Linked DNA regions of Pelodiscus sinensis. The protein of the gene in region 2 purifies or fractionates together with the protein of the main gene of each other region. This does not show direct contact. Links are inferred from orthologs where the notes say so. Each region holds a gene or a part of one and is shown on either strand. Other genes may lie near its edges.

Region 1 (7,240 bases), on a different chromosome or scaffold from region 2:
TTTATTCAGATCTAGTTTTAGTAAGCTTATGTGATCCTTTTAAGAAGCAGTCCATTTAAAAAGAAAAAAGAAAGAACTGACACTAAGGTCATGGCATCTCTTAAAGTGCAAAAAACCTTGCAAGAGCTGGTCCTAAAAATGTTATGCTATCAGTTCATCTCTTTATGAACACTTAATTTACCTACATAGGTGATGAGAGGAAGAAGTGCCATTGGTTCCAAAGCATTAAACCCTGACCCAAAAGACAAGAGTGGGGAAAAAGATTATTTGTATTCAATAAATGTTGAAAATGAAATTCACACATCTCAGACCTTGTTTTGGAGTTTGAAAAGATCTACTTCCACCATTATGGTGCTGTATTCCACTATGACATGGTCCATAATCAGAAGATAAGGTGACACTGGAAGGCTGATTTCTCATTTTCTTGGCACGTTTCTTCTCTCTTGCATTAGACATTCTGGGGAAAAAAAGACCATCAGTACATGTACTCTTCTTCCACGTGGCCTTTTCTACACACTCAAATTGTACCTATACACCAGTACAATTAAGAGGTACAAGTTCCCCACATATTGCTGCAGTTCTATTAGTATAAAGGTGTTTTACGCTGTAACAACTAATCCAGTAGGTCAGGAGAAGAGCAAAAGGTTACAGTAGTACAGGCAGTCCCCGGGTTACGTACAAGATAGGGACTGTAGGTTTGTTCTTAAGTTGAATCTGTATGTAAGTCGGAACTAGCTTCCAGATTCAGCCGCTGCTGAAACTGACCGCCAGTTCTGACTTACATACAGATTCAACTTAAGAACCCCAAGTCAGCTGCTGCTGAAACTGATCAGCAGCTGATTCCAGGAAGCCCGGGGCAGAGCAACTGTGCCTCGGGCTTCCTGTAGTCAGCGCTGGTCAGTTTCAGCAACGGCTGAGTTGGGGACGTCTGGGGCAGAGCAGCTGGGGTGCTGCTGGGTTGCTCCAGTAGCACCGCTCCTCAGCGCTACTGGACCAACCCAGCAGCACCCCAGCTGCTCTGCCCCAGGAGTCCTGATTCAGCCGCTGCTGAAACTGACCAGCAGCGGCTGAATCAGGACGCCTGGGGCAGAGCAGTTGGGGTGCTGCCGGGTTGGTCCAGTAGTGCCCAGAGCGGCGCTGCGGGACCAACCGGCAGCGCCCCAGCTGCTCTGCTCCAAGGTCCACAACAAAAGCCTGGTCTGCTGGGGGGGGCGGGCACACTAGCTGCGCCCCCCCCAGCAGACCAGGGACACAGGGAGCAAAGTGGCAGCGGAGGAGGGGGGGGTGCCTCGCCTCTGAGGCTTTGCTCTGGCGCCGGACCGCTTTGCTCCCGGTGCCCCTGGTTTGCTGGAGACGGTCCCCAGCAGACCAGGGGCACCGGGAGCAAACCCGCAGCCGCGGCGGGGTCCCCGCGCTTCTGAGGCTTTGCTAGAGCAAAGCCTCAGAAGCGCGGGACCCCCCGCGGCTGCGGGTTTGCTCCCGGCGCCTCTGGTCTGCTGGAGACGGTCCCCAGCAGACCAGGGGCACCAGGAGCAGCTTTTCTCGCCCGCTGACCGCTGCCTGTGAGCTCCGGGGCGAGAAAGCCCCGTTCGTAGGTGCGGATCCGACATAAGTCGGATCCGCGTAAGTCGGGGACTGACTGTATAAATAAGCTTTGCAGAATTCAATGTTAGCTTAATTTCAACAGGTGTTAGTTTTTAAACATTTTTAGTTTGTATCAATTTAAATTTTCAGTTCCACAAAGTTATGGGGGGACTCCAATTCAATGAGAGTAAATGACAAGATTCCAAATGTTAAAGCTTTGTAACCATTAGAAGACAAAATCAACATCACATGGCAAAATATACCAAGTAAATATTCTTAAATCAAATTAAGTTATCATGCATCATTTTTCTAACTTTTGCTATCTATAAATTTCAGTTATCAATGGAAATGTTGCCCGTGTGTGTTAAAATCAATACTTACTGACATTTACAGATAAAAAAAACTAACCTTGCCAAACTTAGATGTAACACACCTTTAGAGAGAAATGCAGCTGCATCAGAAGCTGGATCAATTAGCAAGATCTAGCAGAATAGTTTTATTGGTACAAAATCAGTGTGCACAGAAGGCATAAAGGACTAGAGAAATAAAATGGAAAACTGCAAGCAGTCTCAAAACAATCCAGCCACGGCACAAAATAATTATTGACGGGTTTGTCTGCATGCTCTATAACAACTGGCTTACAAGCTATGACCATCCAAACCGAACTTCCTCTGCTGCTGAACGGGTTGGAGCACGGCACGCGGCAGGTGCGTTTCCCCTGGAGTGAGGAGGCCGGGGGAGGAGGGGTGCACGGCGTGTCCTGACTCGGCGGGTCTCATGCTACAACTCAGCACAGCCGGCGGGCGCGAGGACTCGCTGCTGGGGAGCTGTACTGCCGCATCCCACAGGCCAGCGCTGCAATGCAGGGACAGGGCGCCCAGGGTGCACAGCGGGGGGGAGAGTCCCCCCCAGGCACGGCGGGGGAGGGGGCGGGGGAGGGAGAGTCCCCCCCCAGGCACGGCGGGGGAGGGGGCGGGGGAGGGAGAGTCCCCCCCCAGGCACGGCGGGGGAGGGGGCGGGGGAGGGAGAGTCCCCCCCCAGGCACGGCGGAGGAGGGGGCGGGGGAGGGAGAGTCCCCCCCCAGGCACGGCGGAGGAGGGGGCGGGGGAGGGAGAGTCCCCCCCCAGGCACGGCGGGGGAGGGGGCGGGGGAGGGAGAGTCCCCCCCCAGGCACGGCGGGGAGGGGGAGGGAGAGTCCCCCCCCCAGGCACGGCGGGGAGGGGGCGGGGGAGGGAGAGTCCCCCCCCCCCCAGGCACGGCGGGGAGGGGGCGGGGGAGGGAGAGTCCCCCCCCCCAGGCACGGCGGGGAGGGGGCGGGGGAGGGAGAGTCCCCCCCCCCCAGGCACGGCGGGGAGGGGGCGGGGGAGGGAGAGTCCCCCCCCCCAGGCACGGCGGGGAGGGAGCGGGGGAGGGAGAGTCCCCCCCCCCAGGCACGGCGGGGAGGGAGCGGGGGAGGGAGAGTCCCCCCCCCCAGGCACGGCGGGGAGGGGGCGGGGGAGGGAGAGTCCCCCCAGGCACAGCGGGGGGAGGGGCAGGCACGCCCGGGCGGTACCTGGCAGCGGGGCCGCCCCGCGTGGGAGCAGCCTCCTTTGGCCTCTGTCCCTGTCCCCGGCGGCGCGCGGCTCCCTCGGCCTCGCTCCCAGCCGCAGCAGCCCGGTCGTACCCGCCTCCAGCCCCTAGCGCCGCATCTCCCAGCATCCTCCCCGGGAGGGCCCCCCCCCCCCCGGTCCTCTAAGGGAGCATGCGCAGTTCGGGGCTGTGCACACACGTGGGCGGGGCTGGACTCCTCCGCTCCCAGAGCGAGACGGGCAGCCGGTCCGCAGGCAGCGCAGCGCGGGGTCCCCGGCGCGTGACGCAGGCAGCCATGGCCACCCTGATCCGGAGAATCATCAGCACCCCCGGGGCGCCGGCCGCCATGGGCCCCTACAGGTAACGCGCCGGCGGGAGACTCGCTCTGCCTGGTGCTGCAGCCGGCAGGGGCAGGAGTCCGGCGCGGGGCCGTAGACTGGCCCAGGCAGAACTTACTGGGGGGGCCGCGGCAACACAGGGGACAACGTGGAGGAACTTCCCATTTAGTCTGGCGGCCCGTGAGCCTTGCAGAAGAAGTGGGACTTTAGGGTGGACTTGAAGGAGAAGATGAAGACTTCGTGATCTGGGCTAAAGACACAATTCGGCCCCTTGGGAGGTGTGGGAAGGGAACAGACACGGAGATGGGGAAATGACAGCAGATATTTTGCAATGAGGAAAATGTCCACAATATTATTGGAAATTCATTATTTTTAATTATCACTGAATATATGTTAATTGTGCCTGTGGCTGCGTAATGATAGGTTTATCTGCCTGCATTATGAAATTCTGTTTTCAGTCTCTTTATGAGAGTGAATACAAGCATTATTACTGGGCAGTCCTATTTCAGTAAATCTTTTGGCATTTACATAATGTTTTGCGGTGGGCTTTGAAGTCTTTAATTGCATGCTTGCTGTCCGAAATAACTGGGTGCTGTGCCAGCAGCCTTATATTCTGTGGCAATCAAAATATGCTGAATTTGCTGAGACTGGAGCATAAATCCCATCAGCACACTTCAGCAATAAAGCCAGAGAGCAGGTGTGCAGAATTTGCATTCATGACTGTAATCAACTTAAAGCTGATTTGTCAAGCAATGGCCAACTAGTGACTAAAAATGTGGATTTAATTTACTGTATTAGATTTCTGTTGAATATTAAAAGCATGTCTTTTTAAAGCTCCTAGGACACCAACATTAGCAAGCCCATGCAATCTGATAATAAATAAAAATAATGCGGGAAGTTCCCATAAGTCTTCCATGGTCTGTGTGTTTTTTGGAATGACCCAGTCCTAACAATTACATATTGCAGTCATGTGGCTTTAAATAATCAAAACCCTTGGTGGTATGTCCAGTAAAAAATAAAAAGCTATCAGCTGCCAGGGCTTAGTCTACTTTTTTTGTAAATCTGTGGCTTGTCATTTTATTTGTATTTTTGGTATCTATTAGAGATGTTAGCATGTAGGCAATTACTTGATTAACTAATAAGTCTGGTCTTATTGGTTAACCATAATGATCACACACACACACACACACACACACCTCTATATCGGCAGGGAAGGGGGGAGTAGGAAGCCGATACATGACACGAGCTCTGTAAGAACATTTATAATGCTTTTTCATTTATAGATCTCAAAACTTCTGACAAAGAAAGCATTATCGCCATTTTCAACTGAGACACGAAGACTCCAGCCACGTAGAGCCCTTCATAGGTAGAGGGCTGCTTCAGCCTCACAGGACTTGCAGGCAGCCCCAGTCCATAGTGGAGGGGGAGGCTGGCCTGGCTGGGCCATGGTGGGCAGGTGTCTGCTCCAGCCCAGCTGGGCTAGAGTGGCATCCCCGCTTGCTCTATTTACTTTAACTGGTTAAACATAACATTTAACCAGTTAACTAATTAAATGGGATTTTACGTCCCTGATTTCCACAAGGGGCTTGCTCAAAATAGTGTATAGTTCTGAGTGGTTGGATGGAAATGAGATTTTTCGGGATGAGCTGTAAATATATGTATGGCTTATATTGCAGTCAAGCAGTACTGATTGATCGGACAATGTATATCGCAGGACAGCTAGGCATAGATCCTAGAAGTGGTCAGCTTGTACCTGGAGGGGCAAAAGAAGAGGCTAAACAGGTAAGAAGTTATCATAAGTCTCTTAACAATACATTTTAATACTTGAGTGACTTAGTATTTGGCCTGTATTTAGTCGCTAGAGCTATTCACCGAGAACAGAGAAGCCCAAATATGAAGGCTGCAGTGTTGGAGATCATTCTACATAGCAATCCAGGAAGCAGTGGGGAGGGATAAAGTAGCTGAAAATGCCTCCTCCTCAGTCCCCACCAGAAATAATGTAAGGGTGAGGAGGAAAATAGTGAGAAATCCTCATTTCCGGAATCGGGGGGGGAAATGTGCTTTAAATTTAATTGGACAATTACTTACTGTTTTCAGTATTGTATTCTGAAGAAGAGTTCTGAAGCTCAAAAGCTTAGCCCGTCCACCAGCAGAAGCTGGTCCAATAAAAGATATTATCTCACTTACCTTGTTATTCATTAGACACTTATGACAAAGATTAAGCCTCAATCCAGACCCCAGGAAGGGGATCTCAATACAAATCCTAGCAGCTAGGAGGGCCAGATGGCTTACTTGTCAAGCCATTGCTTCTGGACCTTGTTCTTTTGCAGTGGGGAACTTTTCATCTTATGTATGTGGCTTTTTGTGATTTAAATCAAGGAATAAAAATAGAAGGCCTGCTGGAAGCACAGTCACTACGTGAGATGATTTGTAGCCTACCTTTCTTTTCACTTGTCTAATGAAAAGGTTGGCTGCTATCTGAGGTTGTCTGGAGTAAACTTTGATAGCTACAGTTTGAGGTGCTGGTATGTAGAGAAGCCATAGCTTAATGTCAGTACCTCAAGACTGCTTTTCTTTTCAATAGGCTCTAAAAAATATAGGGGAAATCCTGAAAGCTGCAGGCTGTGACTACACCAATGGTGAGTGCCTACATAATAGAGATGTCCAAGTATTTAATTTAGAGAAGAAAACAATGTGACTTTCTAAAGGGGGTCTTGTTAGATATGCAGTTGGTGATTATAGCTGTGTGATAGAAAAGAAAATATGATTCCAGGCCCAAGGATTTTAAAATTGAAAAAGACAATCCAGGGAAACTCAGGGAAATACTTTTTTTTTTTTAATTTGAGACGTGTATGCTTAGCTGACTTGCCCCAAACTACTGGCTAGTGATACTATTGTTTTCAGCCTCATCTGTGCAGCTGGCACTTTCATCATCTTGTCCTCTAACCCAGAGCTGGTCTACAGGAACTGGGATGAGATTCAGAATGGTATTTAGATGCCTATTTCCCTTTGGCTTCAAGGTGCCTAAATACCTTTGTATATTCCACACCTGGGGCTTACAGTGCCAGTTACTGCCCACACCAGGGCTATGTCTACACTGGCGGCTTCTTGCGCAAGAATATCTTGCACAAGGGTTCTTGTGCAAGAAGTCTTGCGCAATAAAACATCCACACTGCCATGTGCAGGCCGTGCTTTTGTGCAAAAGCGCCCATGGCAGTGTGGACGCTCTCTTGTGCAAGAAAGCTCTGATGGCCATTTTAACCATAGGGCTTTCTTGCACAAGAAATCCCTGCTGAGCCTCCACACTGCCCTCTTGCGCAAGAGCTCCTTTGCAAGAGGGCTTACACCTGTTAATAAAGAGCATAGCTCTTGCGCAAGAAGCCCTCTTATCACTCCATACTGTAAATCTTCTTGTGCAAGAGCCGGTGGGCAGTGTGGATGCGCTGCTGATTGTTGCACAATATCGGCCATACTTGCACAAGAAGCCGCCAGTGTAGCCATAGCCTAATGTTATAACGAGTGGTCCTGTGGCACCGTAGAGACTAACCAAAATATATGGGATCATGAGCTTTCTTGGACAAAACCCACTTTATCATATTAATTGGAGTGGAAGTTATAACAGTGGAGTTGAAGCTCACATTAGCAGTGGAAAGGGCAGAGGGGGGAGAAGCTTAAAAGAGTAACAAAATCATAGCAGAGACAAAGCCTTGGAAAGGCAGTGGTTGGGGGTTTAGTAACAGGTGTGTGTT
Region 2 (7,557 bases):
GATTGAGAAATGTGTCTGAGATGAAAGTTAGATGCATGAAGGTAAGTGTAGCAGTTAGTAGGTTTCCCGTATAGGATGGTGGAAATTTGTCCATCATTTAATTGTACTGTAGTGTCAAGAAAGTGGATTTCTCGTGTGGACTGATCCAGGCTGAGATTGATGGTTGGGTGGAAGTTGTTGAAATCCTTGTGAAATTCTTCCAGGGTCTCTTTCCCATGGATCCATGTGATGAAGATGTCATTGATGTCGCGTAAGTAAAGTAAGGGTGATGGGGGCGAGAACAGAGGAAACGCTGTTCAAGGTCAGCCATAAAGATGTTGGCATATTGTGGTGCCATGCACATGCCCATGGCTGTGCCACTGACTTATGGCTGCTGTCCTGCAAACAATTATGCAGATGCTGAATTGTAAGAACACACACAGTAGTCCCATGGAAGTCAGTAAGACGACTTGCACCATAATGTTAGAGCACATACACAAGAGCTTCTAGTACTAGTGCCTCAGGATATGTCTCTTCTCAGGGGAAAAAAAGACCCCAAACACATACAAAAGCATCCCACTGCAAAGAGTCTTGGGGTATATCTATGCTACAATTAGAAACCCACAGCTTGCCTGTGCCAGCTGACTTAGGCCATGTCTACACTTACATAGCTGTGCTGCTGTAAGAGTGTTCATGTAGCTGTATTATGTTGACAGGATAGAGGTCTTCTGTTGATATCATAAAACCAACTACTGCTGCTCTCTGAACTATGTCAGCTGGAGAGTGTCTCTCACCAACACAGCACTGTGGATATGAGCACTTATGCTGGCAAAACTTAGCCATTCACAGGGGTGTTATTTTCATACCTCTGAGTGACAAAAGGTTTACTGATGTAAGTACTAATGTAGACATGGCCATGGACTTGTGGGGCTCAGACAAAGTTGTTTAGTTGCAGTATAGACATTTGGGTTCAAGCTGCCTGAGCTCTGGCACCCTTCTACCCTACAGGGTCCTAGGATTCAACCTGGGGATATAAAATCATACACAAAAACAAAAACAGTGTAACCAACCAAAATTCTATCAGTTCCCAGTCAAACGTTTACTCTGACACACAAGGCTATGGAAGGCTACCGGAGGAGCACCTGTCACCAGGGTCTTACCTGATGGCCCCACATCTAAGGCTCTGCCCTCAGTAGGCATCCTGGTGTGCAAGGGGTCCCAGCTGCTCGCCCCCCAGCTGCTGGCAACGCCAGGATGCCAAGTGGCAGCAGAATCACAGGTACAGAGCCAGTAGCCAGCATCCCAGGCCGCAGCAGCGGATGATTGACAGACCCCAGCCGTCAGGCCAGAGCCCAGCTGTGGGGTTCATAGACCAGAGGGGCTGGCAGCCCACAGGAACCTGGGGTTCTACGATGCCAGGTGCAGCAGCCAGGAAAGCAAGTAACCGTAGCACCCCAGGCATGGCAGCAGCAGAACCCTGGGCACCAGACTGGCAGCTAGGAGGAGCTTCAGGCACACAGCTGGTAGGTGGGATCCTAGGCATTGTTAAACCATTAACAGAAACTGATAAATCTCATCTTATCAGTTAACCCATTAATCTCCTACTTCCCTAAATCCAGCGTAAGCCTGAATGTCTAGATCACAAATATAAACAGCCCTTTACCCTAAGGTGAGAGTCAACTGGCACAGACCAGCTGGACTTAAAACTGTGGTGTAGTTATACAATCAGCGCACAGGTCAACTAACGCAGGCTCCTGCTGCAGAGCTAAAAATAGTAATATAAACATTCAGACTCTAGCTCCAGCCCAAAATCCAGTGAGACTCTCCACCTTGCTGGCTTCAGAGTTAGGGCTCCAGCCTGTGCTGAGAAAGCTACATAACAAAAAAGTCCCAAGCTGGGCAGGACAGAGAGGTTTTACTAGAAATAGTGCACATCTACCATGACAGAAAGGATACGCTTAAACCGGCTTATTCATTGGAACTATCACAACAATTAGCCAAAGCGACGAGGAGTCCTGTGGCACCTTATAGACTAACTGAAGTGTAGGAGCATAAGCTTTCGTGGGCAAAGACCCACTTCGTCAGATGCAGTGGGTCTTTGCCCACGAAAGCTTATGCTCCTACACTTCAGTTAGTCTATAAGGTGCCACAGGACTCCTCGTCGCTTTTGCAGATTCAGACTAACACGGCTACCCCTCTGATACTTAACAATTAGCCAGGCTATCTTTCCAGCAGAGGTAAAAGTAAGCAGGTACACCCTGATGCACAGCTCTTCAGCAAGAGAAGGCTAAGCTGTGGCAAAAGCCAGCTGGGAGCTATTTAAAGAGCTGGCAGGGACGGGACAGTACCTGTAAGAAATTTTAAGTTACTTCCACCCCTGCTTTCCAGTCCCACATGAGAGATGTTAACTTAATGAATGAAGTGATGCCAATTAAAGATGCCAATGTGTAGACGACTACAGATTAACCGATAAGTCTAGGCTTCTCAGTTGATCCTGCTGACCACGCACATTTCCTTCCCACCTTGCTTCCTCTGTATCAGAGACAGCATGGAGGGTGGGGGCCCATAGAGAGCCAGCTCCCCATGAGAACTGGATCTGTCTTCTCACTTCTGTGCTGCACAACACTCAGGCTGCTGCTGCCTGCCCAAGAGCCAGGGGTTACCAACGGGGCGGGGAGCAGCGCTCTCCGCCCCAAGACAGGCCGGCAATGGGGGGACCCCTGCACGCGAGCTACCGCTGGATAGCGCCCACCCCGGCTCTTGCACGGGCAGCAGCCAATGGGCGACTCGCCCCGAGCCCGCAGCGCCCGGCAGGCTGGGAGAGCCGCGCGGACCTGGCCGGCGCCTGGGGGGGAGGGGGTGGTACTCACGGTGCGCGGCGGCCTCCAGCAAATTCTGCAGCGACTTGAGGTCCGGCGCGCGCGGGACGTTCAGATCCGCAAACACGGCCATGCTGCCACCACGTGGTGCCAGCAGCCTCAGCGGCAGGGCGGCGCTGGCACCTCCACGTAGGCTGCGCCCAAGGCATGCTGGGGGTTGTAGTTTGCACCCCCAGCCTCCCGCGCTGCTGTGGCGGACGGGCGGTGCGTGCGGGCCCGTGCAACCCAGCCTTCCCAGCTGCGCCCAGGGGCAGGTTCCCTGTGCTCGCACGCCCCGGGGCAGCCAGCCTGGGCCTGGGGTTCGCAGCCTCGCAGCATGGCCCCTGCCTAGGGATGTGAAGGACTCGTCGACTATCCCATAAGCAAATGCTTATGGGATACACCACAAGCTAGTCAACTAGTCACTTCCCCCATTGCTGTCTCCCATCAGAAAGAGGCAGAAAGGGAGGGGGGAAGTGGAGGGGGTACTTCCAAGCGGCAGCCGCTGCTTGAAACCTGGAGCCAGGTCCCCATGGTGTTTCAAAGTGGCAGCATCGCGTGGAGCCCGGGATATGAGAGAGAGAGAGAGAGAGAGAGAGAGAGAGAGAGTGTGTGTGTGTGTGTGTGTGTGTATATATATATAGAGAGAGAGAGAGAGAGAGAGAGAGAGAGCCAGGTCCCCATGGTCCCCATGGTGTTTCAAAGTGGCAGCATCGCGTGGAGCCCGGGATGTGAGAGTGTGTGTGTTTGTGGTGTATAGGCTACGTTATTCCTGCTTCCTGCCCTACATGGATCCCTGAGCTAGTGGTGCTGCTACCCTCAGCTGCAGAGACACATTGCAAAGAAGCCCAGAAAAGTGAATCCCAGATTTTCTGAACCCTGATAGCCCCCTGAAAGCCCCCTAACAAATGACATGGCTCTTAGCTACATTGTAGCTCCATATATATGTAAAAATGTTGTAGAGGTGGAATCCTTTTCAGAAACAATGTTGAAACAAGGTGAGGTCTTTATTTCCGGGAGAGAGCAACATTGTAGCCACTAGATGGAGCAGCTATATTATTCAACTGAATTATTACCAATGAAATTATTTGAGGCATCATCAGAACATTGAAAATGTCAACAAAAGGGGATAATTGTTTTTAAGATACAGCATTTTCTGACAGATTACGTTTAAAATGTAATCTGTTGTTTATAAATAACTATATAGGTTTTACATATTCTATTAATACATTTTAACCACTGTTAGTGAACCTCACCCTCAAACTAGCATTCAAATTGACAGAAAATATCAGGATGCATCTGTCAAAGTGGTTTTTACCCACAAAAGCTTATGCCCAAATAAATATCATAGAATCATAGAACTGGAAGAGATCTCAGAAGGTCATCAAGTCCAGCCCCCTGTTCTAGGCAGGACCAATCCCAACTAAATCAACCCAGCCAGGGCTTTGACAACTCAAGACTTAAACACCTCTAGAGATGGAGACTCCACTACTTCCCTAGGTAACCCATTCCAGTGTTTCACAACTAAATCAACCCAGCCAGGGCTTTGTCAACTCAAGACTTAAACACCTCTAGAGATGGAGACTCCACTACTTCCCTAGGTAACCCATTCCAGTGTTTCACAACTCTCCTAGTGAAATAGTTTTTCCTAATATCCAACCTGGACCTCTCCCACCCCAACTTGAGACCATTGCTCCTTGTTCTGCCATCTGTCACCACTGAGAACAGCCTCTCTCCATCCTCTTTGGAAGCTCCCTTCAGGAAGTTGAAGGCTGCTATCAAATCCCCCCTCACTCTTCACTTCTCCAGACTAAACAGACCCAACTCTGTCAGCCTTTCCTCATAGGTCATATGCTCCAACCCCCTAATCATTTTGGTTGCCCTCTGCTGGACCCTCTCTAATGCGTCCACATCCTTTTTGTAGTGGGGGGCCCAGAACTGGACACAATACTCCACATGTGGCCTCACCAGAGCCGAATAAAGGGGAATAATGACATCTCTGGATCTGCTGGCAATGCTCCTCTTAATGCAACCTACTAGGCCATTAGTCTACAAGGGCACACTATTGACTCATATCCAGCTTCTCATTCACTGTAACCCCCAGGTCCTTTTCTGCAGAACTACTACTTAGCTGGTTGATCCCCAGCCTGTAACAATGCTTGGGATTCTTCCGTCCCAAGTGCAGGATTCTGCACTTGTCCTTGTTGAACCTCTTCAGATTTCTTGTGGCCCAATCCTCCAATTTGTCTAAGTCACTCTGGACCTTATCTCTGCCCTCAAGAGTATCTACCTCTCCCCCTAGCTTACTGTCATCTGCAAAATTGCTGAGGGTGCAATCTTTCCCCTCATCCAGGTCATTAATAAAGATATTGATCAAAACCGGTCCTAGAACTGAACCTTGGGGCACTCCGCTAGAAACCGACCACCATCCTGACATTGACCCGTTGATCACTACCCGCTGGGCCCGGCCTTCTAGCCAGCTTTCTATCCATCTTATAGTCCATTTATCCAATCCATATACCCTTAACTTGCTGGCAAGAATATTGTGGGAGACTGTATCAAAAGCCTTGCTAAAGTCAAGGTATATCACATCCACTGACTTTCCCATGTCCACATAGCCAGTTACCTCACCATAGAAGCTAATCAGATTGGTCAGGCACGACTTGCCCTTTGTGAATCCATGCTGACTATTCCTAATCACTTTCCTCTCTTCCAAGTGCCTCAAAATGGATTCCTTAAGGATCCCTTCCATGATTTTTCCAGGAACCAGGTAAGGGTGACCATGCTATAGTTCCCTGGATTGTCCTTCTTCCCTTTTTTGAAGATGGGCACTACATTTGCCTTTTTCCAGTCATCTGGGATCTCTCCTGATCTCCATGACTTTTCAAAGATAATGGCCAGAGGCTCCTCAATGACATTTGCCAACTCCCTCAGCACCCTCGGATGCATTAAGTCTGGACCCATGGATTTGTGTACATTTAGCTTTTCTAAATAGTTCCTTATCTGTTCTTTATCCACCAAGGGCTGTTGTTCTTCATCCCATCTTGTGTCATTTAGCGCATTAGTCTGGGAACCAATCTTGTCCGTGAATACAGAGGCAAAGAAAGCATTGAGTACTTCAGCTTTCCCCACATCATCTGTCACTAGGTTACTCCATCCAGTAGGGGCCCCACGCCCTATCTGATCACCTTCTTCTTGCTAACATGCCTGTAGAAACCTTTCTTATTATCCTTCACATCCTCTGCCAGTCGCAATTCCATTTGCATTTTTGCTTTCCTGATAACCCCCCGGCATTCTCGAGCTGTACATTTAAACCCTGGTCCCTGGTCATTTGTCCAAGTTTCCACTTTTTGAAAGCTCCCTTTTTGTGCTTAAGTTCACCAAGGATTTCCCCTGTAAGCCAATCCAGTCTCATACCATGTTTGCCTCTCTTGCTATGCATCGGGATGGTTTTTTGCTGTGCCTTCAATAAGGCTTCTTTAAAATACTGCCAGCTGTCCTGGACTCCTTTCCCCTTTATGTTAGCATCCCAGGGGATTCTACCCATCAGGTCTCTGAGGGAGTCAAAATCTGCTTTTCTGAAGTCCAAAGTGTGTATTTTACTACTCTCTTTTCTTCCTTTGGTCAGGATCCTGAAATCTACCATCTCATGATAACTGCTTCCCATGTTGTCACCCACCTCTACTTCCCCTATTAGTTCCTCCCTGTTTGTGAGCAGGTCAAGCTGCACATGGCTGCTGGTCGGATCCTTCAGCACTTGTACCAAGAAGTTATCCCCAACATTCTCCCAAAACGTCCTGGTTTGCCTGTGTACTGCCGTATTGGTTTCCCAACAGATGTCAGGGTGATTAAAGTCCCCCACAAGAACCAGGGCCTGCAATCTGGAAGCTGGTATAGATGTACCCTTAGTCTTTAATGTGTTCGAAGAAAGCCACATCTACCTCATCCACCTGATTCGGTGGCCTGTAGCAGACACCAACCACAACATCACTGCTGTTGTTTGTACCTCTAAACTTAACCTGTAGACTCTCATCAGGTTTTTCTCCCTCAGTATACTGGAGTTCAGAGCAATCATAGTGCTCTCTTACGTATAGTGCAACTCCTTCTCCCCCCTGCCTGTTCTTCCTGAACAGTCTACACCTTTCCATGACAGCGCTTCAGTCATGCGAGTCATCCCACCAAGTCTCTGTTATCCCAATTAAATCATATTTCTTGGACTGGGCCAGGGCCTCCAGTTCTTCCTGTTTGTTGCCCAGGCTTCTCACATTAGTGTACAAACACCTCAGATAACCAGTTGATTGCCCTATCTTCTCCATTTGAATCAGGGGTCCTCCTCTCTTGCTTGTTCCTCTTTGAATTTCTTCCCGATATCCAACTTTCCCACTCCCCTCAGAGTTTTGGTCACCGTCCCCCAACAAACCTAGTTTAAAGCCCTCCTCACTAGGTTTGCAAGCCTGCCCGCGAAGATGCTCCTTCCTCTCTTGGTTAGCATCCTAACAATCCTTTTGCCCAGAACAGAGTCCCATGGTCGAAGAAACCAAAGCCCTCTCTGCGACACCACCTGCGCAACCACACATTTACTTCCTCAATTTGATGATCCCTGCCCAGTCCTTTCCCTTCAACTCCTTGTGGAATGAGGTTTAACAGCTAATTTGAGTTAAGGGGTTTACGTGTAAACGTGGGCAGTTATTCCGGACTAGTCAGTTTCCAAAATGGTGAC
Region 3 (7,796 bases), on a different chromosome or scaffold from region 2:
GGTTTCTGCCTAGAGCGATGCCTCAAGTTCAGTCCTCTAAATGTTACTAATGGCTTCGGCAAAAAGAGGAAAGGACAGAGACAAAATTTCTGATGTAAAACTCAAGAGGGATCTTTATTTTAAATTCTGCTGTATGAATCATAAAGGAGTAGCAGAAGGAACACAGTTTTAGTGTTGGCATTCACTATGAACAACTGTGCCGAACACTTACACAGAGCTCTGTCAGTGTGATTTCTACCAATTAGTATATCCGCACAAAATCCCTGTGGTGCCCAACGTTCCCCATTCAGTCACTGCCAGAGCTGAGATCCAGGGATCAGCAGAACATAGCCAAAAAAGGGAAACAGAGCCTAAAGGCTCTGTTAGGAGGTCCAGTCTAATAAAATGCCATTGCAATTGGGAAAGCCAAAAACATCCTCAACTCAGAGTTCTATCCCATAGCCTTCCACCCTTTCATCTCTAACACAGATGCATGGCCCAGTTCCATCTTCCAAGTAGCATCCAGGGCAGCTGAAATCAGCTCCATTTAATGCACATTTGTTTTGGCCTCAGGACTCCTGGCAAATTCCCTATTCTTCATTAAGGAGAGTTTGGGCAATTCTGGGCTACTTTCTTTCACTAGTAAGCCACACGCAGCAGAGTAATCACCATGCAGGTCTTCAGCAAGACGACTTGTCAAGACAGACTCCAGACTTGTTATGAGAGGAATGTATTTGCCACGCTATGGCCCTGTTTCCACATGCCCCTTTTCCCTCTCCCACTTGTGCTAGGTTTCAGCTCTCCTCTGCCAAGGAGTTCAGTCACTATTTGGTGGCAACAGTTGAGCAGGCTTGTTTTTTTACTCCTGATGCCATTAAAAATGGCTTTGGATACGTCTCCGTCTCAAGGCTTTTTGTACAATTCGCCACGTCCTCCAATAGATCTTGGATGCTTTCCTGTGTGGCCAGCCCCCCTTCCTCCACCCTGCTTTCTTTTAGTTTGTGCTTGAGACTCAGCTTTGAGTGTTTCGATCCAGAAGGCATCAAAAGAGCCTGGGGCCTGATAGCCAGGCTCCTGGGGATCTAGTGCATCTTTGCTCAGCAGGACACAAATGGCAGGAATATTTCTCTTCACTGTCAAGGCATCTAGACCTGCCTCAGGGACAATGGGCTCCCAGATCTCTTCAGTCTGTTTGAAGAGCACTTTGGTGATTTGGTGAAGTTCCTTGAGCCTTCGCTTCATGATTTCCACACAAGTGATAGTCTTGCTGACAGCTTTGCCAGAGCCAGTGAAGAGGATCTGCCTAACCGAGTCCGACTCCATCTTGCCGATGGCATAACCCATAAGATTTCTGATTTTGCTGCCATCCTTCACCTTCATCTCGATAATATCTGAAGGCAGGTTGGTGAACGGAATGGGAAAGGGCTTCTCCACAATCTTGGATTTCTTATAGTTCTCCATTATGCACCACTGTAAATGAGAAGAACCAGTATCAATGCATGCTTCTAATTATTATTCACAAAGGCACGGTATTTAATTTCACAGGCTATATTACCTGACTGATAAAAAGTTGAGTAGAATCCACTTTATTATTAATTTGTATTACCATAGCACTCAGGCGACCCAGTTGTGGACTGGGCCCTCACTGTGCTAGATTCCATAGCAGTGGTTCTAAACTCAAGTGGCCACAAGCTGTCAGGACTGCTTGATGCACTGAATACTATCAGAAGCTACCCCGTAGGGCTGAAGCTCTGAGCCTCACACTTGTAAGGATAAAGGCGTCAAGCCCTTTTGTCTTCCAAGACTCTCCCAGTCCCAAGGGGCAAAGCCCCTTCCTCCCAGCTGAAGTCCAGCTGTGCACACTTACATGCACACACACAGAGCCTCTTACTCACGTTGCTTAGATTTGCCTGAAAAGGATCGTGACAGTTTTAGGCACCTCTAGCTACATGCTACAGAAAAATACATACTGAGTTTTAGGCCCAAACACACCCAAGACCTCCACTTTATGTAACTCCACTTAGAAATGTCATTTGCCCAATTAAATGAAATTCTCCCGTCTAAGCTGCTACTAGATACTGGAGTTTGACATTTTGGAGTTAGAAAAGACAAAGGAGAAAGAAGAGAAAACATTACAAAGAGCAATTTAGTAGTTTAAAAAATTCAGTAATAAATAGCAGGTTGGCTTGGATTAAAACTATTTCGTATATTATCTGCAATCCAAGCACTGCTTGTGTGTGGATGGCACATGGGAGTCAGAATCTGAAAGTAACTGATCTAGTTTTGCAGCCCCAAATGGAGAGACATGGCAAAGCTAAACAAATAGCATCACTGATGAAATGCAGGAGCTGAACGAGCTCAGGAGCTGTTAGTAGCAGGAAAGGAAGGACTGTTATTTTTTAAGTCAACGGGACGTTGCCTCATTGGAACAAGAGGAGTTGGGAAAGATACGGGGGGGGGGGCTGGGTGGACAGATGTGGGGTCAGTGTCTGAAAGGGGGGAAGGGGGATGACGGGATCCGAGGGCTACATGCCGGGTGGGGGCGGGGGGGGACGGGCCGGGGGGGGATTCTGCTCGGCGGGTGGGGGCGGGGGGGGACGGGCCGGGGGGGGGATTCTGCTCGGCGGGTGGGGGCGGGGGGGGACGGGCCGGGGGGGGATTCTGCTCGGCGGGTGGGGGCGGGGGGGGACGCTGCCGGGGGGGGGATTCTGCTCGGCGGGTGGGGGCGGGGGGGGACGCTGCCGGGGGGGGGGATTCTGCTCGGCGGGTGGGGACGGGGCGGGGGGGGACGGGCCGGGGGGGGGATTCTGCTCGGCGGGTGGGGGCGGGGGGGGACGGGCCGGGGGGGCAGGGAAGAGCAACCTCGGCCCAGCGCGGCAGGGGCCTGGGGGGCCGCGGGGGGGGGCGGCCCCAGGGCGGTGGGAAGGTCCCGGGGGGGGGGTCGGGCTGGGTGTTTACGGGTCTCGCTAATGGGGGGGTCTGGCTGGATGCGGGGGGCGGGGCTGCCCGCTCGGAGGCGCGGGGGGGGGGGTGACGGGAGGAGCGTGGGAGGGGCCGGACCTGGAGGGGTTACTGGGGGGGGGGGAAGTGGCCGCCCGCCCCGCGCTCACCCTTCCCGGCCGCCGCACGCGCCGCCAGCCCCGCCGCCAAGATGGCGGCTCCCCGTCGCGCGGGGGGTGACGTCACGGGGGCGCGCGGCGCCGGGCCCGTAACGGCTGCGGCGCTCTTGGGAGTCACGTGAGCAGCTCGCGCCCTGCGTCGGTCGCCCTCACGGCCCGTGGCGCGCGAGGGTCACGGGGCCCAGGCTCGCCCCCCCCCTCCCCGTGACATCGGCGGCTGCCATGACGACGTGCTCCGACGTCACTCGGCGCGGCGGAGGGTGGGCGTGTGAAAAAGCCACGCGCGGAACGGGAAGGGGGCGGCGCGGCTCGAGTCAGTGGGCGTGTCCGTGCCGAGCGTGGCTTGTGACGTCAGCGGGGTGCCCGGGGTTCGGCTTGTGAACGGGACCAGGCTCTGCAGCGACCCGCTCCAGCTGGCCCGGCTCTGTGAGAGCCCAGATCCGCGAGCGGGTGCCAGGCCTGCTCTGTGCCGGTTCGTCTCCTGCCCTAGGGCCTGCCCGGGCGCCCAGTATCCACGGCCAAGGGGCACGCCTGGCCCTTGATGGCAGAGATCCCTGCGTCTCAACTTCCTTTTTACAAAGTGCCCCTTTTTTAAAAACAAAGAACAGATCTATACGGACCCCGGGACCTGTAGTTTCCAGACACACAACAGTTCTTTCTACTATTGCAACACATTTGTTTGAACAACTTATTTGTAGCTGGGTGGGCGATGACATTTTTGGGTGTAAACAGTAATACAAAAATAATAAAACGCTGTAAAACTTAAAACAAAAATTCAGTCTTCTCCACTTTTCAGTTGTGTTGATGTAGCTCCCCCTAACTTCTCTCGAGTAGATTGGATGGATTGCACCCTCAGCAAGTTTGCGATGACACTAAGCTGGGGGGAGAGGTAGATACGCTTAAGGGCAGAGATAGGGTCCAGAGTGACTTAGACAAATTGGAGGATTGGGCCACAAGAAATCTGATGAGGTTCAACAAGGACAAGTGTAGAGTCCCGCACTTGGGATGGAAGAATCCCAAGCATAGTTACAAGCTGGGGACCAACCAGTTAAGTAGTAGTTCTGCAGAAAAGGACCTGGGGGTTACAGTGGATGAGAAGCTGGAGATGAGTCAACAGTGTGCCCTTGTAGCCAAGAAGGCTAATGGCATATTAGGTTGCATTAAGAGGAGCATTGCCAGCAGATCCAGAGATGTCATTATTCCCCTTTATTCGGCTTTGGTGAGGCCACATCTGGAATATTGTGTCCAGTTCTGGACCCCCCACTACAAAAAGGATGTGGACACATTGGAGAGGGTCCAGTGGAGGGCAACCAAAATGATTAGGGGGCTGGAGCATATGACTTATGAGGAGAGGCTGAGGGACTTGGGTCTGTTTAGTCTGCAGAAGCGAAGAGTGAGGGGGGATTTGATAGCAGCCTTCAACTTCCTGAAAGGAGGTTCCAAAGAGGCTGGAGAGAGGCTGTTCTCAGTAGTGACAGATGGCAAAACAAGGAGCAATGGTCTCAAGTTGTGGTGGGAGAGGTCCTGCTTGGATATTAGGAAAAACTATTTTACTAGGAGGGTGGTGAAGCATTGGAATGGGTTACCTAGGGAAGTAGTGGAGTCTCCATCCCTAAAGGTGTTTAAGTCTCGGATTGACAAAGCCCTGGCCAGGTTGATTTAGTTGGAATTGGTCCTGCCTAGAGCAGGGTGTCACATTACTGGAATTTGAGGGAAGCAGCCAGATCATGGCTGCACCCATAGGTGGGGGTGCTGGCCCCAAAAAAGATATAAAAGGGGGCCATGTGGGGTGTTGAATGGGAGCTTACTGTTTGCTAATCCTGTGTACGCTATTTATGTGAGTGTATAGTGTCTATGTGTATAGGTAAGAATCTGTGTGGAAGCTGAATATTTCTCTGAATGTGGTTGAGCATTGGGCAGAGCCTGGCCTGTGGACATGCTAATTAGCGAGGCCCTATGGGACAATGGCACTCAATGGGCCAAGGACACACCTAAAGCATGAGGGCGGAGACCTAAGAGCTGCCAGGAGAGAGAGACTGAGGGCCAGGTGACCGGCTTCAGCCAAGAAGAGGTCAGGAAGGAGGTATAAAGAGGCCATGTGGGGGACTCCATTTTGTTCTGAGCTTGGCACTTCATCCCAGAGGCAGCATTGCAGGGATCGAAGAGCCCGGAAGACCTGTGAACCCATCCTGATGCTAGGATGTGCAACAAGAACTTTTAAACCAGCAGCTGTAACATCTCTGCTAGAGCCTGCATCGAGGACTGGGAGATTCGGTGCATGTAACGTACTATTCTTTAACAACCTTACTCTCATGCTTTTCTTTCTTGTGATGATAAACCTTTAGATATAGATTCTAAAGGATTGGCCCAGCGTGATTTGTGGGTAAGATCCAGAGGGTAAATTGACCAGGGATCTGTGGCTGGTTTCTTGGAACCGGACAGAACTTGTTCAGGGTAGGTGGGATTGGGTGCTAGGACCCCCCCACCTGTGTATAGGCCCGGGGCCATCTGGGGCACGGATATTGCTGGGGTGTCGGAGGGGTTTTGCTCATGAGGCTTCAGGCAGGCTGCTGAAGTGCTCTGTGGGACTGGTTTGTGGCCTGTGTTGAGAGGTCACCAGTCTGGGGGCTGTAAGGAGCCCCGGATTTGAGCAATTCAGTCTGAGCAGACGCCCTCAGCTGTGCCCAGACACGACCTGGTCAATCACACAGGGGGCTGGATTTGATGACCTTCTGAGGTCTCTTCCAGTTTTATGGTTCTATGGAGTACCCCAAGGGTACTCGTACCACTCATTGAGAAACACTGGCATAGGTCACATTGGTGGATGTGCCATTGTGTGAGTCTCTGATGTGGCAGCAGATGTGGTTGGGCCTGTGATAGTGTCACTTGTGTAGTTGCGTGGACAGAGTTGGCAGCGGAGTTGATTGCAAGGATGCATTCCTGGGTGAGTATGATGGACGGGTGCTGCATGGTGGCTGGAAAGAATTTGTTTGAGCTTCAGGGGTTGTCTGTAAGCAAGGATTGGCCTGTCTCCTGTGAGGGGTCATTTTCCAAGATAGGTTGTAGATTGTTAATGATGCACTGGAGGGGGTTAAGTCGGGGGCAGTAGATGATGATCAGTGGTGTACTGTTGTTTTCTTTGTTGGGCCTCTCTTGAAGAAGTTGATGCCTGCGTACTCATCTGGCTCTGTCAATCTGTTTTTTCACTTTTCTGGGTGGGTATTTAAGTTTTAAGAATGCCTGACAGAGATCCTGTAGAACAAGGTGTGTGTCTCTGTGGGACTGGAGCAAATCCGGTTGTATCTCAGGGTCTGGCTGTAAACAGTTGATTGGGCAATGTGTCTGGAATGGAAGTTAGAGGCATGTAGGTAAGTGTAATTGTCAGTAGCGGTATAAGGTGGCGGAAAAGTGGCCATCATTGAATTGTACTGTAGTGTCAAGCGGATCTCTTGTGTGGACTGGTCCAGGCTAAGGTTAAGGGTGGAGTGGAAGTCGTTGAAATTCCTTTGGAATTCTGCAAGGGTCTCCTTCACCGGAGGTTACCATGACAACATGATGTGACATCACTGGGCAAGGCTATTTGCAGGTGCGATGTCAATGGTTACCATGATAACTGATTGTGATGTCACTTTGGGCGGAATATAGGCAGGTGTACCGCCAAAGGTTGCCAAGAGAACAGATTGTGACCACACAGAGCAAGGCTGCTTATAGGCTGGCCCGGGGCTGGGACAGACACATACAAATGGGAATGCTGCTCCTTTCAGGAAATAGCAGCCTGACTTCCAAGTCCGCTGGGGTGAGCTGGGCCCAGCTGTGAAACGGCTCCTAGGGCTGCTGCCTGGCCCTCTAGGACAGGAAGTGACCGTTGAGTCTACTGAAAAACGGAGAGTCAGTCCAGGGAACAGACAACAGGCTGGAGACGACAGTGGCTGGGGAGCTGTGAGATTTGGGTTTTATACCTGTCTCTGCCACCATCTTGCAGCATGATTTTTGGAGAAGTCAGTTTATCGTCCTGTGCCTAAGTTTCCCCCTTTCTCATCTTTTGTCTGATCTATTTAGATCTTAGGGTAGGGACTGCTTCTAGCTATGTGTGTGTGGATATACCCAGCACAATGGGGCCCTAAACTCAGTTTGGGGCTGTGGGTATGGCAATGCAAACAGTAAATGATAATAGTGACATGTCCCCCAGTGTGAATCTGGCCAGGACATTAGAGTTTATCTATCCCACTCAGAGCAAAATATCTTCAGAGAAGACAAGTGTTTAGGACCTTTTGGTTTTACATTTGATTTGAAAGAAGGCACTTTCATCCACCACATGGCCCAAGATCTTGACCCTGGTACATTCGTTCTGTTCTAATGGAGAAAGAAAAGCACCAAGTACTCAATCATCACCTACTTCAGCAACTTTGGATGTATCAAAACTAAGTACTGACGTAGAGACCATCTCCGCTACAGCTCTTACACCGGCACAGCTACAGCCCTGCAGCTGTAGTAGACACTTCATACTTTCCTGTTGTTGTAGTTCAGTGGTTCTCAACCTGTGGTCCGTGGACCCTTTGTGGTCTGCAGTGGTACTGCAGGGGGTCCGTGGAAAATTTAAAAATAAGGATCCCAATCTTCCCCCCCCCGGAAGAGGGGGGGCTGTGAAATTTTAATAGATTGAAACGGGGTCCGTATGCTCGAAAAAGTTGGTAACCA
Region 4 (7,882 bases), on a different chromosome or scaffold from region 2:
TTTAACTGCCCATCCACTAATGTGATCTATGCCATCAAATGCCAGCAATGCCCCACTTACGGTTGCCAGGTGTCCGGTTTTCTACTGGACAGTCCAGTATTTGCACCATCTGTCCGGTAGAAAAATTTAGAAGATACTGGACACATGCAATGTCTGGTATTTTCTGAATTTCTGGCTAGGTGCTGGACGGAAGCCTGGCGGTGGTGGGGGAGCGACTGGGAGGCGGGGTATGATTGGCGCTGGGAGCCCTGTGGTCGCATGCAAAAGCAGGGCAGGGCTCAGGCAGTGGCTGGGACTCCCAGCCACTCTCCCCGCCCAGCTTCAGCACACAACCGGAGGCTCCCAGTGCCAATCGTGGCCCCGCCTCCCAGCTGGGAGCCTCTAGTTGCGTGCAGAAGCCAGGAAGGGGGCGCGGCTCCCAGCCCTGTCCGGCTTCTACTAGCAACTAGAGGGAGTTCCTGCCAGGGGTGCGACCTGTTAGACTCCAGCTGCGGCCAGTGGCTGCACCCCCCCCCCCAGCTCTGCTTCCCACCCCCCCTTCCTCTGGCCCCCCCTTCTACTGTCCAGCCCTTCCCCCGGCCCCTGATCCCTCCAAGATCTGCTTCCCACCTCCCCTTCCTCCTGGCAAGCCCCATGGCCCCTGCCCTCCCTGCCAGCCCCGCCCCCCTCCTGGCAGGTGCCTCCCCCTGCCCATGATCAAGTGTGTCTGGTATTTTTGGGGGGAGGGGAGAGGGTCTACCTGGTAACGCTAGCCCCACTGCCATGTATATTGGCCAAACTGGCCAGCCTCTACTGAAAAGCATTAACGGACACAAACCAGATACCCAAAAAGTCAACCCAAAAAGTCAACACACAGAAACTTCTTGGAGAACACTTAACCTGCCCAGGCACTCATTAATGGATTTCCAAGTCACCGTGTTGTTTCAGGTCAATTCCACAAGCCAAATGCACAGGGAAGAGTTGGAATTTAAGACAAACTTGTAAATTAAGTTATCAGCATGGAATGAACAGAAGTATTGGCTCCCACACTACCTTCCACATCCTAATGACTTAAGAACAATTAGTACTTCCATTGTTGTTTGGTTATCAGACTCTTGTAACTACTTGAACAATTTATTCACTGTCTTATTTTTCCTCCTGTCCACCCCCCCTTCCCTTATTTATTCTTGGATCTAGACTTTCAACACTCCAGTCATCTGAAGAAGTGGGTTATACCCACCAAAGCTCATGATACCCTCTACACGTTTTGTTAGTCTTTAAAAGGCGCTACTAGACTATGTGGGTTTTTTTTAAGTTTTTCCAGTTACAGACTAAGTCAGCTACCCCTCTGAAGCTTTTGTCCCTACAAAGTTAGGGCAATTGGTCACCCTACAAATAATATGGGTGTGTGTGTGTGCGCGCATCCATATTGTGGAAGACAGTCATTTTTCCAGAAGCCAGAATTCCTTGTCTCGGTAATTCGTCCAAGTTATTCCCCTTCCCCGACAAAAAAACCCTGAGTGATTCAATAGAGAATCATAGAGGAGGGGGAAGGAATAATCAGCTACAGTTCTATAGCACTTTTTGGCAAAAATACTTTACAAACAGTAGTTGAGTTTCAAAGCATTCCCGTAAATTAGAAAAGTATTTTATCCCCATATTACAGGTTGGGAAAAGCAGCAAATGCAGAACTAAAACCCCAAAACTTTGGCTTCTCACCTGATAGTTAAAATATCAGAAACATTACTGGTATAATGCTCCTACCCAACATCTCTTCTCCAGTCTCTGTAGATACCCTAATTGGTTTGGAGAACACAGCCCTTCACATTAGGAGCATAGATATTAGGTTCAGAGACACCAGGACATATCACAAGTTAGCTTTCTATTTGTAGAGGAATTAATGGGATTCACAACGGAAAGCATTTCAGAGACAATCACATTTATGTATATTATATTAACACAGGCAAAAAACCCTATAGGATTATCAGAGTAAGAAGATTTTTGTTTAAAAACCCCCACCTACTGCTGCCTTTATTCTTACCAGATTTAGGACCCACCGTGAAGGAAACAACACCATCAGAGTGGATAAGAATGCTTCCCAGACCTCTAATCACTACAGGGTGGGAGTCCTGAATCAGCTGCTTCATTTCATAACAACATTGAAAGCAAAGGGCCCAGGCTTGCTCCTCACTTATGGGCTGGTCACAACATCTCAGAAACTCTCCCAAAGAGATCTTAGTAACATTCCATTGACATCTTGAATAATCCATTTTTTACTTTCACTACCCTCCATATACTTGCTTTTGCCCAGGCTATTTTACATCCTCAGACAGCTGTAGGTGTTTTTGGCAGTTTTTATCCATTCTGCCTTATATTTCCTTCAGGTGAAACCAGTTAGAGCTACTTAAGGCTACAACTTCTTAAAGGGACACTTTTACTTTCATCATCTTCTCTCTAGTTATACAAGCATCAGTGACTGAAGACAGAGAGAAAAAAATTAAAAGGCATTTTGAAAGATTAGAAGCCCGAAAAATTAATGTCTGAGTGTAACTCCACTGCCTTCATCAGGTTTGTAATGAGAATAAATATGACTCCTGGGTCCAAAAATTTAGATTCAGCATGGAAAAAGAAAAAAATCATTGTTGGTGGGGGTGCAATTTGCATACTTGGTGGGAAGGAGACACCTGGGAATCAATGATGTTGGAAGAGACCTCTGTACCAGTAGACAGTAAATAGAGTGATGTGTTTTCAGAGGCCTGTCCTATGAGGAAGCCAGGCAACCATATTCTGTACAAGCTGGAGCTTGTGCATTTTATCCACTTTCAGCCCCAGAAACTGAGAGTTACAATTTCCGAGCCTGAAGGTAAAGGACACATGGCTCACTCTGGCCAACTCTTCATCTTGGGGGAAGGAGTAGTTTCTTAACCAGCTGCAGCTGGAAGAAGGATTTTCTTTTTGTTCAGTACTGATGCTTCCTGATCACCCAAAGGTAAGGCTATGCTTACCCTAGCAGTGACTTAATGGTATAGCTACAGTGATAAAACACTCCTAATGTGGGAAAACACTCCTGTGCTGCATCTAGACTGGCAAGTTTTTCCGCAAAAGCAGCTGCTTTTGTGCAAAAATTTGCCAGCCGTCTACACTGGCCGCTTGATTTTGTGCAAAAGCACTGATGTTCTACTGTCTGAAATCAGTGCTTCTTGCGCAAATGCTTTGACATTCCCGTTTGGGCAAAAGCCCTTTTCCGGAAATGTTTTTGTGCAAGAGGACCAGTGTAGACAACTAAAAACTGTTTTGCGCAAAAAAGCCCCGATGGTGAAAATGGTGATCGGGGCTTTCTTGCGCAAAACCAAGTCTATATTGGCACGGACACTTTTCCACAAAAAGTGCTTTTGTGGAAAAGCGTCCGTGCCAATCTAGACGCTCTTTTCCGCAAATGCTTTTAACGGAAAAACTTTTCCGTTAAAAGCATTTGCAGAAAATCATGCCTGTCTAGACGTAGCCCTGCACTTTTGCCTGTATAGCTTGTTCCAGCTCCCTCTCCCATAGACAGGGCCCCCAGGTTTTGCACCACTTTGGTGAGAGGTGGCTGGATGCTTGTGCTAGGAGGTAATGTGGGTGGATCACAGGCATTCCCACAGAGATGAAGTGATGTTTTTGCATTTTATCATTTCCCCATACGAATGCCGTGTCATGATCATCCCATAGCTGTTGTTATTTGGGTTTTAGTGCCCGAGGTGAGGTGCACACCACATGCTGTGGTAGGCACATGGCGAGCCCCTACATCTCAAAAGGGATGTGATGGTGTGTGTGGCGATGGTGGCACTGCTCATGGGGACAGTGAAGGGTTGTCTGTAATTGTGCACCTCTTCTCCTGGCACAGCCTGGCCACTGCTTTGAGCTGTGATGGGAAGTGGAAGCCAGGGTTGTCAGGTGTCCGGTATTGAACTGGACAGTCTGTTATTTTCATCTCCTGTCCAGTAAAAAAATTCAGAAAATACTGGACACCTAAAATGTCCAGTACTTTCTGATTTTTTTCCCAGCCAGGAGGCAAAACCCCCAGGTTGTCTGATTCAGTATGGAGGCAGCCTGGCAACCCTAGTGCTTACTAGGGAGCTTTCTGACCCAGCATAGGGAGGCAAGATAGTGGGCGGCCACCGGTAAGCTGTTAGGGCAAAAAAGCCTCACCATGCAATTTTTAAAAGGGGCCATGGTGGGGTTTTTTTTTTTTTTTTTTTTTTTTTGCTCAACACACTTTTTCCTGGCATGTTTTTTTTTCTTGTTGTTCTGTATTTTTTCTGAAACCATCTGGCAACCCTAGTGGCAGCAAGAGACAAGGCTTGGGACGGGCACCAAAAAGGGCAGGTCCCTGGGCAACGCTGTGCCAGGATCCCAGCCAAGGGGGTGCACCTTGGAGAGATCTCAGCAGCGCTCCCAGCCCTTGGGGCTCACCCCTCAAGCCCCCCCAAAACCAGGAGACAGGAGACCCATAACAACAACAGACTAAGGGGCCCTGCGCCAGCCCAGCCTTCAGGCTCCCCCGGGGCGTGGCTTGCAAGGGGGCCCCTCTTGCGCCCCCTGCCTCCGGGAGCCGGCGCCTTGCGCTACGGACCCCAGCGGCCTCCGCTCCCCCCTAGCGCGCCGCGCGCCTGCCTCCGCCCAGACCACTTGGTTCCACCTTCCCCGCCCACCCCCACGCGCCCGCTTTGGTTCCGTCCCGCCTCCCTGCGCTTGTAGTTCCGCCCCCCTGATCGCTACTCTCCTGCCACCCCCCACCCTCGGCAAGATGGCGGCGCCCATGGCGGGGGAGGCAGCGTGGAACCGCTGGCATGTGCCGTGGCCGGCGAGCTGCGCTACGGTGGCCGTGGCGGCCCAAGACCCCGCAGGTGGCCGGGCCCAGGGCAGCGCTGGGGAAGGGGTGCGGGGAAAAGCGAGCACGTGCCGGGAGATGGGAGAGCATTGGCTGGGGGGGCTGCGCTGGGAGGATGCAGGGGCCAGAGGGTAGCAGTGGAGGGATGGTTGGGGGGGAGGTGGGGTGAAAAGCAGCTTTGGGGGCTAGTGGGGGGGGGGGAGAAGAGTAGAACTGAGCAAACAGGCTCTGCAGCATCTGTGGAGAACTCCCCACGCGCCCACCCCCACGTGCGGGGCTCTTAGCTTTTGCCTTTCCTGTCTGCAAACTTGAAGCATCTTTGACGTGTTTCATATCCTCTGTGGCTCTGAAACAGCCCGGCACATATTGCACGACGCGTTTGTGTCACTGGCATTGTCAAGGATCTGGGAATAGATTTTTTTTTTTTTGTAAGGGCTTGATCAGTCCCAGAGTTCTGTGGGTTTGTGGTTTAAATACAGAGCAGAACCAAACTAGAAGTGATTGTGATTTATATTTTTTTAAAAAAAAACCCTCCCCCAACTCGCCACCTTTTTATTTCTATTCCTTTGCAGTTTTAAGAACACAAATCCAAATATATTAGACTAGTCCTAGTGATACTGCCTAAGCTTGTTGAGCTGTCCAAACTCTGAGGAATGGAAAACAGAAAAAGTGGGGAGAAGTAAATTACTTACGATTCTGTTTTAATGAAACCTCCATGTGTTATAGCAGGGGGCAGAGACCTATGGCTCAGTATGGCACCAAAATATGGCTCTCTTGGCCATCCCCGCTGCCCCGTATGCTGGAGCTGGAGCCGGGCCATGGTGGGGTTGTCCCTTCTTGGTCAGCTGTACTGTGGCCCCAGTCCCAGCTAAGGATGTTAAAATGCAATGATCTGGCTAACTGAATAGTCGATACAATTTGTATCGATTATACAATTAGTCAATAAGCACTGCTGTTCAGAGCCACAGCGGAGGTAGTTCCAGGAGCCGGCTCTGGGGCCACCTGTGCTGCTGCTCTGCATTTTAAATGTAGTAAGAGCAACTGGCTCTTGCTACATTTAAAATGCAGAGCAGCAGTGATCCGCACGAGCCAGGACTGCTTGGTCCTGGCTCACTCTGTGTCCAGTAGCCCCTGTTCACGGCAGACACCCCTGTGTACCAGACTAGCCCCTGTTTGTGGTGGCCCGGGCTCCCTGCTGGGACCCCCGTGGAGAAGGGCTGTTTCCCAGCAGCGTCCCCTATTCTCCTTCCCCTGCTGTCTCTAATAGAGGCAGCGGTGTGGGCAAGCAGCACCCCAGAGACGGTGCGGGGGGAACCAGCTTTTAATCCAGTTCCCCCAAGCACCAGCTCCTCCTTCCCCCCATGCTGCCTCTCTTATAGGAGGTTGCTGCAGAGAGCACAGGGTGAGCAGAGACTTCTTGAGTCCCTGCTTGCCCCAGGCTCTGTGTGGCACTTCTGCTTTTGAAATGTACAAGAGCCCTGCAGGGATCTTGTACATTTCAAAAGCAGAAGCTCCCACAGTGGGAACTGGTGCAAGTGGGGACTGAAGCAGTCCCCACTCATACTGTTTCCCCGCTGTGACTCTACCTCCCTTGCCCCCTGCAGAGACAGTGCTGGGGGGAAATGGCTTAAAGCCTATCTCTGATAGAGGCAGCTGGGAGGGGGGAGAGCGACTAGTTGAGTGGCTACTCAACTATCAGAGCATGGTCCGGTGGAGCTGTGTGGTGGGCCACTGCCCTGGAGCTGGAGCCAGGCCACAGTGTGGCTGCTTCTGGGCTGGGGCAGCTGCACCGTGGCATAAGTAAGGACTAAAAGAATGTATTGCAGGCAAGAAATACAAACTGGTATTTGTTCAAATTGAAAGCCAGACAAGTAGTCCCTAGCGCTTATGAGGTGTGTTTCTTTGGTCCTTGTGCTTTGTCACATGGGTTTTTATACATTTATGTGGTGCTAATATGATTTATCTTGTATGAAGCTCAAAAACAACTATTTTAATGTCTCAATTTCTCCCCCCCAGTGAAATGTCTTCCAGCTGTTATTACAGGATGTTACAAGGTCAACACGTTGCTAACCAGTAAAGCTGTGGATGCAGAAGGAAAAGTTTTACATTCAATCCTTTATGGTTTCCACAACTCAATGTCTCACCATAAAACCTATTTGTCTCTGAAACAGGTCAGTAAGATGAAGCTGCTTGAAATAATTATGCTTGGAAGGAGCCTTCTGTGTATCTCAGTTAGAAGTACACTGCAGTTTTTTCAAAACTTTCTTTTGAAGAAGAAATTTGCCAGGCTTGTTTTTATTCCAAACGTGGATTTTGGTAGTTTCATAACACTCTTCACTTGTTTTTAAGACATTGTGGGTGTGTCTAGACTACAGGTTTTTTTTAAAAAAAGTAGCCTTTTTTCGAAAAAATAGTACCTGTGTCTAGACTACCGCCGCGTTCTGTCGACAGTAAATCAAAAGAACGCGACGGTTTTGTTGACGGCAGTAAACCTCCTTCTACGAGGAATAACGCCTTTTTTCGAAAGTCATCTTTTGAAAAAAGGCGCTATTGCATAAAAACAGGGCTTTTTCAAAAGAGAGTGTCTAGACTCTTTCAAAAAAGTGAGCCGCTTTTTTGAAAAATCTTCTTGTCTAGATGCTCTTTTTTGAAAGAGGCTTTTTCGAAAGATACTTTCGAAAAAGCCTCTTTCGAAAGAGGCTTGCAGTCTAGATGTAGCCTGTGAGTGAGTCCCACTGGGTTTTTTGAACCTTTTCCTACTCTTTTGTGGTCATTGAGAAGTGTCACTTTTTTTTCCATAAGAGCAATATTCAGAATCTTTGTGTTCAAATTAAGATGTTAAATAAATCTAATTAGATGTTTTTATCCATTTCATGCTTCTTAGAGTTCATTAAGAATAGAAATACAAACAGTGGTGGTACATTTATAATGGATGGGGTAAATAATCCAAAAATTGCCTTTGAAAGACAACTTCTGCAAGCTATCCTTGAGAAAGAACTGAGTTTTTTTTTAAGGGGTCGTTAAAAAGTGAAG

Evidence for each region.
Region 1: the proteins of RPP30 (region 2) and POP1 purify together in Homo sapiens (affinity purification with mass spectrometry; 5 studies listed by BioGRID and IntAct, counting the BioPlex papers as one, with this or other methods). This does not show direct contact. The link is inferred for Pelodiscus sinensis from reciprocal best matches to the Homo sapiens genes RPP30 and POP1.
Region 3: the proteins of RPP30 (region 2) and RPP25L purify together in Homo sapiens (co-immunoprecipitation; 3 studies listed by BioGRID and IntAct, counting the BioPlex papers as one, with this or other methods). This does not show direct contact. The link is inferred for Pelodiscus sinensis from reciprocal best matches to the Homo sapiens genes RPP30 and RPP25L.
Region 4: the proteins of RPP30 (region 2) and RMP64 purify together in Homo sapiens (affinity purification with mass spectrometry; 3 studies listed by BioGRID and IntAct, counting the BioPlex papers as one, with this or other methods). This does not show direct contact. The link is inferred for Pelodiscus sinensis from reciprocal best matches to the Homo sapiens genes RPP30 and RMP64.

Annotation. Positions count from the first base shown.
Region 1 is NC_134712.1:37,841,661-37,848,900, forward strand, and holds the start of POP1 (ribonucleases P/MRP protein subunit POP1), read right to left. Parts: upstream 3,284-7,240; 5' UTR 3,283-3,283; coding exon 3,137-3,282; intron 2,497-3,136; exon of another isoform or gene 2,364-2,496; coding exon of another isoform or gene 2,227-2,363; intron 2,121-2,226; exon of another isoform or gene 1,993-2,120; intron 458-1,992; coding exon 312-457; intron 1-311. Other genes in the region: RIDA (2-iminobutanoate/2-iminopropanoate deaminase), read left to right, coding at 3,449-3,513, 5,168-5,273, 6,076-6,130. UniProt on the Homo sapiens protein: Component of ribonuclease P, a ribonucleoprotein complex that generates mature tRNA molecules by cleaving their 5'-ends. Also a component of the MRP ribonuclease complex, which cleaves pre-rRNA sequences.
Region 2 is NC_134718.1:40,357,000-40,364,556, reverse strand, and holds the start of RPP30 (ribonuclease P protein subunit p30), read right to left. Parts: upstream 3,008-7,557; 5' UTR 2,932-3,007; coding exon 2,850-2,931; intron 1,457-2,849; exon of another isoform or gene 1,180-1,456; coding exon of another isoform or gene 1,140-1,179; intron 1,004-1,139; exon of another isoform or gene 898-1,003; coding exon of another isoform or gene 846-897; intron 1-845. UniProt on the Homo sapiens protein: Component of ribonuclease P, a ribonucleoprotein complex that generates mature tRNA molecules by cleaving their 5'-ends. Also a component of the MRP ribonuclease complex, which cleaves pre-rRNA sequences.
Region 3 is NC_134716.1:127,360,895-127,368,690, forward strand, and holds the start of RPP25L (ribonuclease P protein subunit p25-like protein), read right to left. Parts: upstream 3,227-7,796; 5' UTR 3,090-3,226; intron 2,404-3,089; exon of another isoform or gene 1,875-2,403; intron 1,553-1,874; exon of another isoform or gene 1,535-1,552; intron 1,450-1,534; 5' UTR 1,441-1,449; coding exon 883-1,440; 3' UTR 1-882. UniProt on the Homo sapiens protein: May be a component of ribonuclease P or MRP.
Region 4 is NC_134711.1:148,120,801-148,128,682, forward strand, and holds the start of RMP64 (nucleolus and neural progenitor protein), read left to right. Parts: upstream 1-4,735; 5' UTR 4,736-4,765; coding exon 4,766-4,865; intron 4,866-6,865; coding exon 6,866-7,020; intron 7,021-7,882. Other genes in the region: protein spire homolog 1-like, read right to left, coding at 2,021-2,249. UniProt on the Homo sapiens protein: May play a role in cortex development as part of the Notch signaling pathway. Downstream of Notch may repress the expression of proneural genes and inhibit neuronal differentiation thereby maintaining neural progenitors.